Linked DNA regions of Ovis aries. The protein of the gene in region 1 purifies or fractionates together with the protein of each later gene. This does not show direct contact. Links are inferred from orthologs where the notes say so. Each region holds a gene or a part of one and is shown on either strand. Other genes may lie near its edges.

Region 1 (5,220 bases):
CCACATCCTCAAACCTACTTGCAGCCCCTTCATTACCTACCCTAAGGCTTCCACTTGTATTATTACCCCAGTTCATTTATGTTTCAAATGAGATTGAATCAAGAACCCTAAGTATTGTACCAAGAATTCATAGCTTTATCTGACGCACCTGTTTCCCTTTAATTTGGAGCCTGCTACTGTTTGTTCCTTCTCTCTGTCCCAAAGATGGTTTGGGGAAGAGAGAGGTAGAAGCGTGTAGCTAGTGCTCTGCCCCTCCTGCCCAGAGGTCCTTCTTTAATGTAAAGTGGAATTCGTGGGAGTGTGGTCACCCTGTCTGTTCCCCGATGAGAACTCTTTAACTACCATGGGTGGGGAGGGGGGAATGGCGAGGGCAAGGTAGTGGCAGACCCACGTGTACAGTTAGCGCATCTTTGCCTGTTCCAGGTATGATGAGTACCAGCCCGAGGAGGACCTGCAGCACACAGCCAGTGACTTTGTGGCCAAGGTGGATGACCCCAAGCTGGCTAACTCTGAGGTGAGCTGCATCTCACCACCGCTGCTTCATCCAAGAAGTCAGGGGAACCCTTTCCTTACCCCCGTTTAGTTTAAACAGGAAGAGCTGGGACCCGGGGTCCAGTCCTTCCTCTCTGGGGAGCAGAGACTTAGGGCCCTGCCTCTTCCCCCGAGTCTTCTTGCCTGCACTTCCTTGCCTGCTAACCCTCTGTCCTTTCTGTGCCATCTCCCATTCTTGAGAGCCAGAGATCCCCCTCTCTTTGCTCTCCGCTTTTTCCAGGGTCCTTAGCGTATCTTGTCTGAAGCTAGAGGTGGTCCTCAAGGGGAGGGGTCAGCGCAGGCTCCTCTGGGCATGGTCGAGAGGGCGCACCTGCAAGTCCTCTCCCAAGTGGCCTGTGTGTATCTCTGTGCCCCAGTTCCTGAAATTCGTGCGGCAGATTGGCGAGGGGCAGGTGTCCCTGGAGTCCGGCGCAGGGTCAGGCCGAGCTCAGGCAGAGCAGTGGGCGGCAGAGTTTATTCAGCAGCAGGTAGGCTCCTGTCACCTCCCAGCCCCACCCCGGAGCTGCTGGTGCCCCCGGCCGTGGGCTCAGGGGTCCCAGAGGGTGAAGGGAACCTATTGCCAGCTTGTTTGGTAGCATCCAGGTCCTGAGTGGGCGGGAAAGAGATTCTGAGAATGTTCTCAGAAGTGCCCAGGTTGGTTGTGTCCAGTGGGTGTTCACTGAGTGTTTAGTGGGTAGAAAATTGGTGGTGGTGCTATGACCAGCCTGCTTTGTTACAGGGCACGTCAGAGGCCTGGGTTGACCAGTTCACAAGACCAGTAAACACGTCTGCCCTCGATATGGAGTTTGAACGAGCCAAGTCGGCCATAGAGGTGAGAACAGCTGGCGAAGTGTGACCAAGCCAGGAGGAAATGCTCCTGTGGAGAGAGTGGGTGTCCCAGCGCTAGAGATGACGGACGTTGTATTTCATAATGTTCTGGATCATCTGTGTCAGAATTACTTGGGATGGGGGGTGAGTGTGAGTGATAGTCACTCAGTCGTGTCTGACTCTTTGCAACTACATGGACTGTAGCTTGCCACACTCCTCTGTCCATGGAATTCTCCGGACAGGAATACTGGAGTGGGTTGCCATCTCCTTCGCCATGGGATGGTGTGGGTGCCTATCAAAAACACCAGTTCTTGGGCCTCCCAGACCACTGAGTCAGGATCTGGAAATAGCATCTGGGAAGAGCAGCAAAGGAAAGCTTTCCGGTGATCTGAGACACGTGGGAAAGGAAGAGCTACTGCGCGGGGAGCCCGTTGTAGTGGCACTGAGAGCGGGACGGGGCCGTCACAATGGACCTTCTTCCCTATCTGCCCTCCTTCCCTTACAGTCTGATGTCGATTTCTGGGACAAGTTGCAGGCAGAGTTGGAGGAGATGGCAAAGCGTGACGCTGAGGCCCACCCCTGGCTCTCTGACCATGATGACCTCACGTCCGCTTCCTATGACAAGGTGAGAAGTGGCTGTTTTCACGTTGCAGGGTTTCCTTCTTTTATTGTCTCTCCTTTAATCCTGAATTTGAAGGGTACCCACATTTAAATAATCATTTTATTGAGCCCCCTTCCATAAAAAGGAAGCCTGGATTACTCCCTAGCATGCAAAGTCACTTCAGTGGCGTCCAGCTCTTTGCGGCCCCATGGACTATAGCCTGCCAGGCACCTCTGTCCATGGGATTCTCCAGGCAAGAATACTGGAGTGGGTAGCCATTCCCTTCTTCAGGGGATCTTCCCGACTCAGGGATAGAACCTGTGTCTTTTAAATCTCGTGCATTGGTAGGTGGATTCTTTACCATTAGGGTCACTCCATGTTCTTCTCTAGTCATTGAAAGTATTCTTTATTCTTGGGATATAAAAGTTAATAATAATAACAATAATAAGTGACATAGTACCTGAAACAGAGGTTTGCACATGATGTGTTAAGAGCACAGAAGAAGGAGCTCTGCTTTGGAGGTTGGTTGAAAGCATTTTAAGAACATTGATAGCTCCTTGGGTAGAAAATGTTAGGTAGTAGGCCATCTCTGCCCTCCAACTTAGTATCTATTTACTTATTTGTTTAAGAAAATTAATTTATTCTTTTGGCCACGCTGCAGGGCATGTGGGATCTTAGTTCCCCGACCAGGTCCCCTGCACTGGAAGGCGGACTCTCAACCTCTGGACTGCCAAGGACGTCCCTGTTTTTAGATTCTTGAACCCTGTTTTGACATCATTGATACCTTGGGTGGGATATTGCAAAATTAGGATTAGAAGCATTGAATTAATGTTCCACAAAAATATGCTAAACTTTATTATCACATGAACAATCCGGGTTTTATCTGCCTTTTGCTGTTATTGAATTATATGTCAGTAGTAGTGTTTTTTTTTTCTGCAGATGTGGTTCTGACTCTGTCAAGGGAATTCATGGGTCTCTGAATGTAAAGCTTTTTATTCATGGTCCTTAAATTTGCAAGACTGCAGACATACCTTGAGCAGCTATTGTAGACTGTTAAAATGATGGCGAAAACTCTGTGATGGATACACTCTACTTGGTAGTGACCCTGTGTTTGCAGTATGATCCTATGAAAGTTTGAGCAGACCAGACAGTGGATCAGGCCTAATGGTTAGACTTCTTAAGCTGTAACAGTGATCCCAGGCTTATCCTGTATCTTGTAGGTTGTCACGGGCTTCCCTGGTGGCTCAGACAGTAAAGAATCTGCCTGCAAGGCAGGAGAACCAGGCTCGATGCCTGAGTAGGAAAGATCCCTGGAGAAGGGAATGGCTGCCCACTCCAACATTCTTGCCTGGAGAATCCCATGGACAGAGGAGCTTGGCGGGCTACAGTCCATGGTGTCACAGAGTCGAGCATGACTTAGTGACTGAGAAACAACAACATCCCAAGTCCATCTCCTGTATGTCGTATTTCTTAAATTTCCATTGTAATTATTTAATTTTTATCTGTCACAAATAATTTGCATCTGATGGCTTACAGTGGTTTAGAACTTTGCTGGCAGGAATTAAGCATTTCTGGTTCTTGAGCTCTTTCACAATGATAGTGAAGAAGGGCCTCATCTATGTTCTTATTTCATGGTTTTATTCTGGTTTGTCCTTAACTATATTCAGAAAGGGCCTTGTCCTGTGTTTTGTATCTTGTCTTCATTCTGGTGTGTTGTTTTGTGGTGGTGACCCCTGCTCTCCTCAAAGGAGCGTTTTGTTCCCTTGTCACAGTCACACGCTTGCTAGGAATCCAGTTTACCTAACACCTCTCTGCTGCGTGGACGGCCCCGGGACAGAACTCAGCACAACCGCATCCTAACCCCTCAAATGAGAACACCTCCACTAGCACAGGACGTGACTCTGAAGCCTTTTCTGGCCTCAGGATTTTGGAATATAGCTTTCATTTACTATCAGATACAGATTAATACTAATAACTTTTAAGAATGAAACTGGAGAATAAATTAAGTTTTTCAAAGTGGTTGAACTCATACTAATCCTGTCAGTATGCACAGGACTCTGTGAGCTGGGTGAGAGTTGCATTTGAATAGCAGAGCCTCAAACCACATTTCCTTTATATATTATCTCACTATTGCAAGATAACAAGAAAAGCCCTTTGAATAGCTAAAGAGAGCTTATCTCATACCCTAAGCAGATCCTGTTAAGAAATGTGCTCTGTCCAGTGCTGAGGAGTCAAGGATGTGGAAATATCAGCCAATAAAGACTTCCTAAAAATAAGTTTAATTGCAGTGTGGATCAGAGTTTGCCAGGCTTTCCAGCTGCTGGGAGCAGGGTAGCAGCGTGGGCTGGCTTCACTGTGGTTGTGGACAGTCTCCTTCGTGACATGAAGGGTTTGCCAGCATTTCTCCGGATCCCTTTGTGGAGGCCCTCCGCTTCCTCTCCGCCTCTTGTCTGTCCTGGTTGTCATCTCTCATTCCCACTGCTCCATAGCTGCTCCCTCTGAGATTGCTCCTTCCGAGACCGGGTCTCACCTGGCTCCTCTTCTTTGTAGGGGTACCACTTTGAGGAAGAGAACCCCCTGCGGGACCACCCCCAGCCTTTCGAGGAGGGGCTGCGGCGGCTCCAGGAGGGGGACCTGCCCAACGCTGTGCTGCTCTTCGAGGCAGCTGTGCAGCAGGACCCCAAGCACATGGAAGTGAGCGGCTCCTCCTTCTGACCTGATTAGAGAGGGCTCCGCCAGTCTGAGGGAGGCCCCGAAGTGGGTAGTGCACAAGGGTTAGGGTCTGGGTGATGGCCTGGGGTGGGGGCCTGGGAGTGAGATGGTGAGTCCATGGGGAGCCAGAGGAAGGGACAGTGACTACACGGGTGATGAAATCTGGCATCTTCTCTCTAGGCTTGGCAGTATCTGGGGACCACCCAGGCAGAGAACGAGCAAGAACTTTTAGCCATCAGTGCGCTGCGGAAGTGAGTACTCTGAAGAGAGGCACGGGTCAGGGAGGGGTGAGGTGGTCTTGCAGCTCTACAAACAGCGTTTAGAACGACAGGTCCTGGTCTTCTTTCTGGCCACTAACGAGCGTTTTTTCATGATGAAACTCTAAGGTTTGGAGTGAACTTGGGAATAATTGTCTCCATTCCCTCCCCAGCTTTTGGTTTTATTTTGGGGACCCTGGCTGATTCCTCAGCTGCTGAAATGTCCCCTTTCTCAGATCTGTGACTTTATTAATGACCCACCAGTAGGGAATTCCTCTGTATCTGGATGGA
Region 2 (5,220 bases), on another chromosome or scaffold:
TCAGCTGGTAAAGAATCCACCTGCAATGTGGGAGACCTGGGTTCGATTCCTGGGTTGGGAAGATCCCCTGGAAAAGAGAAAGGTTACCCACTCCAGTATTCTGGCCTGGAGAATTGCATGGACTGTATAGTCCATGGGGTCACAAAGAGTCAGACATGACTGAGCGACTTTAACGTTCATAAGACATAACTTACACAGTGAAGATCCTGCATTCTGTAGCTAAGACTCAATGCAGCCAAAATAAATAAATAGTTTTTTTTTTTTTTAAGCTATAACTTTAAGCTTCCTTGGTCCTTACATGTCAACCACATAATCCAAGAGGGATAATAAATGAGACTTCGCACATATCCTGCAAAACTCAGCTCAAATTCACTTCTCTGTGATGATTCCTGGTCATTGCTAAGAGAGTCATCATCCCCCAGTCTGGGGGTGTTACCTATGGATCTATTAATATCTATATAGTTATAGATAATATATATGTAGATAATATATATAGATAATATTTATAGATATTGTTATCTGTGCTACTCAGTGGGAACTAAGCATGAGCTGACTTGTGGTTGTTAGATCTTATCTTTAACAAATGCAGGTTCCTAGCCCCTTTTAATCATTTGGGGCGGACATTACCTTTGCTGCTGCTGCTGCTGCTGCTACGTCGCTTCAGTCGTGTCCGACTCTGTGCGACCCCATAGACAGCAGCCCACCAGGCTCCCCCGTCCCTGGGATTCTCCAGGCAAGAACTTCTACCTATTCTCAAATATTTATAGGACAGATTGGATAGATTTCCATTCTGAATGTTGATTCTTTGGAATGTTGGTCTCTACATACACATTTCTGGACAACCTTTAATGATGTGTTGGTGCTGTAACCATAATACTAAAGTCACATTTGTCCTCCAGAGATGTTTTGAGGTTTAATGTCTAAACCTTAATACCTCTGGAAGATTCCATCCTTTTTAAATGAAAGCCTGAGAAATTGTTTAATCAGAAACCAGTATATCACCCCAGTATTGTTTGGAGTAATTAACACTGCCAAGTTTCTTCCTCATATTCTCATCCCTCCTGTCTTCTCCCCTCCTTCGAATAATCTTTCTAGTTATGGGCCAATAACAAGCAGCTTTATCCTGTGTTAAAACAGTTTTTAAGTAATTTTTTTCTTTGTGAACCATTGACAGCTACTAAAAGTTGAATAAAAGAATTCTTAAACATTAAAATTTTAATTTATTTATATTGGATTCAAATTTTTTGTTTGTGATTTCTTTCTAGGTAAAAAGCCATAAAAATATTGTATTTTCTGAGTCCCACTTAACCATAGGCCAGTTTTCCATCGTAAAACATAGAAGCCTTAGTGGAAGACAGAATAGACTACCCTGTCCCATTGTCCCCAGTTAAGGGCTTGTCTGATATGCTCATATGATTATGCTTTCAGAAGCCAGGTCTTTTATGAAAACATCCTGAGCTTGGCTGGTTATTAGGGGAGGGGAGGTCACAAAATGAGCATTCAGATTATCCGTTTTTAGTAGAGGTTGACTGTTTTTCTTTGACCATATTGAGAAAAATTAACATTGCACATGTGAACTTAAACCACTATTAAACCACTTAATTGTTAGTGTTGGATGACAGACTGCCTTGTTGTCTTTCCGATTAAAATTTAATTTTATGTACTTTATTTTTTCCTGTTTTATTTTAAACATAGGGAACCATTTATTCCGAGACTGCTTTTAGCAACTATGATCATTTGACAAAAGACCTGCTTAACAAGTACATTCACAAGATCCCAGCTAAAAGATTTGGATTTCCTGAGGAGGTAATGTGTATTTCCAACACTGATGAATTACTTTGTTTTATACTTTGGAGATCTGTAACATTTTAGTGTCCTTTTCACATAGTCTGATTGGTTAATAGAGAAGATTGCTCCCATGCCCTCAAACTATGTTCCCTGTGCTTTCTGGCTGCCAGGAATACTGCGCTAGTGGTGCCTTGAATCCTCACAGCAGTATTTATTCTGGCATGGATGCAGTGTCGGTTAAGAGCAGCATGTTTTTATTGTTTCATTGCACTTTTCAGCTCTTTGTTGTTTGATAGTACGCAGAATCTCAAATATGCAGATGACACCACCCTTATGGCAGAAAGTGAAGAGGAACTAAAAAGCCTCTTGATGAAAGTGAAAGAGGACAGTGAAAAAGTTGGCTTAAAGCTCAACATTAAAAGAACTAAGATGATTGCATCCAGTCCCATCACTTCATGGCAATAGATGGGGAAAGAGTGGAAACAGTGGCATTACTTTATTTTGGGGGGCTCCAGAATCACTGCAGATGGTGACTGCAGCCATGAAATTAAAAGATACTTACTCCTTGGAAGGAAAGTTATGACCAACCTACACAGCATATTAAAAAGCAGAGACATTACTTTGCCAACAAAGGTCCATCTAGTCAAGGCTGTGGTTTTTCCAGTAGTCATACATGGATGTGAGAGCTGGACTATAAAGAAAGTTGAGCACCAAAGAATTGATGCTTTTGAACTGTGGTGTTGGAGAAGACTCTTGAGAGTCCCTTGGACTGCAAGGAGATACAGTCAGTCCATCCTATAGGAGATCAGTCCTGAGTGTTCATTGGGAGGACGGATGTTGAAGCTGAAACTCCAATACTTTGGCCACCTGATGCAAAGAGGTGACTCATTAGAAAAGACCCTGATGCTGGGAAAGATTGAAGGCGGGAGGAGAGGAGGATGACAGAGGATGAGAGGGTTGGATGGCATCACCGGCTCAATGGACATGAGTTTGGGTAAACTCAGGGAGTTGGTGATGGACAAGGATGCCTGGCGTGCTGTGGTCCATGGGGTCGCAAAGAGTCAGACACGAGTGAGTGACTGAACTGAACTGAACACAGAATCTAAGGAAGTCAGACAATTATGACAAAATGAAGTTCCGTACCTGATTTCTGTAAGATGACCAGTTTTAAGTCTGTAAAAATCAATAGCTTTCTTAAATGCCAGCAAGATCAGTCTTAAAATGTAATTTTTTAAAAAAGGATATATATTCCCCAATAGGAAAAGGAGTACGTCAAGGCTGTATATTGTCACCCTGCTTATTTAACTTATATGCAGAGTACATCATGAGAAACACTGGACTGGAAGAAACACAAGCTGGAATCAAGATTGCTGGGAGAAATATCAATAACCTCAGATATGCAGATGACACCACCCTTATGGCAGAAAGTGAAGAGGAACTAAAAGCCTCTTGATGAAAGTGAAAGAGGAGAGCAAAAAAGTTGGCTTAAAGCTCAACATTCAGAAAATAAAGATCATGGCATCCGGTCCTGTCACTTCATGGGAAATAGATGGGGAAACAGTGGAAACAGTGTCAGACTTTATTTTGGGGGGCTCCAAAATCACTGCAGATGGTGACTGCAACCATGAAATTAAAAGCTTACTCCTTGGAAGAAAAGTTATGACCAACCTAGATAGTATATTCAAAAGCAGAGACATTACTTTGCCAACTAAGATCCGTCTAATCAAGGCTATGTTTTTTCCTGTGGTCGTGTATGGATGTGAGAGTTGGACTGTGAAGAAGGCTGAGCGCCGAAGAATTGATGCTTTTGAAGTGTGGTGTTGGAGAAGACTCTTGAGAGTCCCTTGGACTGCAAGGAGATCCAACCAGTCCATTCTGAAGGAGATCAGCCCTGGGATTTCTTTGGAAGGAGTGATGCTAAAGCTGAAACTCCAGTACTTTGGCCACCTCATGCGAAGAGTTGACTCATTGGAAAAGACTCTGATGCTGGGAAGAATTGGGGGCAGGAGGAGAAGGGAACAACAGAGGATGAGATGGCTGGATGGCATCACTGACTTGATGAACGTGAGTCTGAGTGAACTCCAGTAGTTGGTGATGGATGGGGAGGCCTGGCGTGCTGCAATTCATGAGGTCGCAAAGAGTCGGACATGATCGAGCAACTGAACTGAACTGAACTGAATAAGAATAAAAACTAAAAAACCCAAAGTGAACTTAACTCTAACCAAAAAAAGTTTATTACTGAAGAACAGAAAAAAACGACCAGAATAAATAGAGACATGCCATATTCCTCAATGGAGAGATTCAATTTTACTAAAACCAAGTTTCCCTAAATCACACATACACATTTAATATATCTTTGGAATTAATATATTGATTCTAAAGTTTTCCCTAGAAAAATATTTATTCCAAAATGCCCAAAATGTTTTGAATAAGAATAATGAGGGGATTTGACCTTCCTGCTGTCAAAACAAACTGTAGGGCTTCCCTGGTGGCTCAGTGGTAAGGAGTCTGTCTGCCAGTGCAGGAGACGTGGATTCCATCTCTAGTCCGGGATAATCTCACATGCTACAAGTAGCTAAACCCATGTGCCACAGTGACTGAGCCTGCGCTCTGGAGCGCAGGAGCCACAGCTGCTGAAGCCCATATGCCTTAGAGCCCTGGGCTCTGCAACCAGAGAAGTCAGTGCAGTCAGAAGCCTGCTCACCATAGCCGGAGGGTGGCCCCTGTTTGCCAAGACTAGAGAAAAACCCGCACAGCAGTGAAGACCCAGCATGGCCCAAAAGAAACAAAATTATTTAACCACCCCCTCAAAATGCATACTGTAAAGCTACAGTTGTTTCCTACATTTGGGGTTGGTGCTGGAAGAGATTAAAAGTAGTGGGATAGAATGGACTCTCATATCAGTACTGCACACACACACACGCACACACACACAGAGTTTATAGGATAAGAGTAACATTTCAAATCTACAAGGAAAGAATATTCAGCAAAAGTCTTGCAGCAGTTGAGTGTTCATTTAGAAATAAATTAGACTCACCCATCTCATATCACATACAAAATAATTTTCAGATATATTAAAATGCTAAATATAAAAGCAATTTTCTCTAAGAGAAAAATGTGTTCTAATTCCTAGAGCTAGCTTTCATTATCAGTTTGATGTATATCTTTCCAGAAATTTACTGTGTATGCTTAAAGATATTTCTGTTTACTGACTTTCTTTTTAGAAAAATGGGATTCTAAGTTTTTCTGCAACTTGCTATGGCTGTAGCATTAGACCCTGTTGCTGCACATTGAGATTTTATTAATTTTTTTATATTGTAATAATTCTGCAGTGAACATTCTTGACTATAGTCATGAACTCTTATGTGTTCTTCTCTTCTAGAAGTAGAAGTCCTGAACTAAAATAGACTTGCATATTAAATTTTAGAAGAT

Evidence for each region. Proteins that work in one complex are often made in the same cells at the same time.
Region 2: the proteins of PEX5 (region 1) and PECR purify together in Homo sapiens (affinity purification with mass spectrometry; 3 studies listed by BioGRID, with this or other methods). This does not show direct contact. The link is inferred for Ovis aries from reciprocal best matches to the Homo sapiens genes PEX5 and PECR.

Annotation. Positions count from the first base shown.
Region 1 is NC_056056.1:209,073,211-209,078,430, reverse strand, and holds part of PEX5 (peroxisomal biogenesis factor 5), read left to right. Parts: intron 1-423; coding exon 424-514; intron 515-908; coding exon 909-1,019; intron 1,020-1,270; coding exon 1,271-1,363; intron 1,364-1,864; coding exon 1,865-1,984; intron 1,985-4,510; coding exon 4,511-4,654; intron 4,655-4,852; coding exon 4,853-4,923; intron 4,924-5,220.
Region 2 is NC_056055.1:218,077,781-218,083,000, reverse strand, and holds part of PECR (peroxisomal trans-2-enoyl-CoA reductase), read left to right. Parts: intron 1-1,695; coding exon 1,696-1,806; intron 1,807-5,220. UniProt on the Homo sapiens protein: Participates in chain elongation of fatty acids. Catalyzes the reduction of trans-2-enoyl-CoAs of varying chain lengths from 6:1 to 16:1, having maximum activity with 10:1 CoA. Has no 2,4-dienoyl-CoA reductase activity.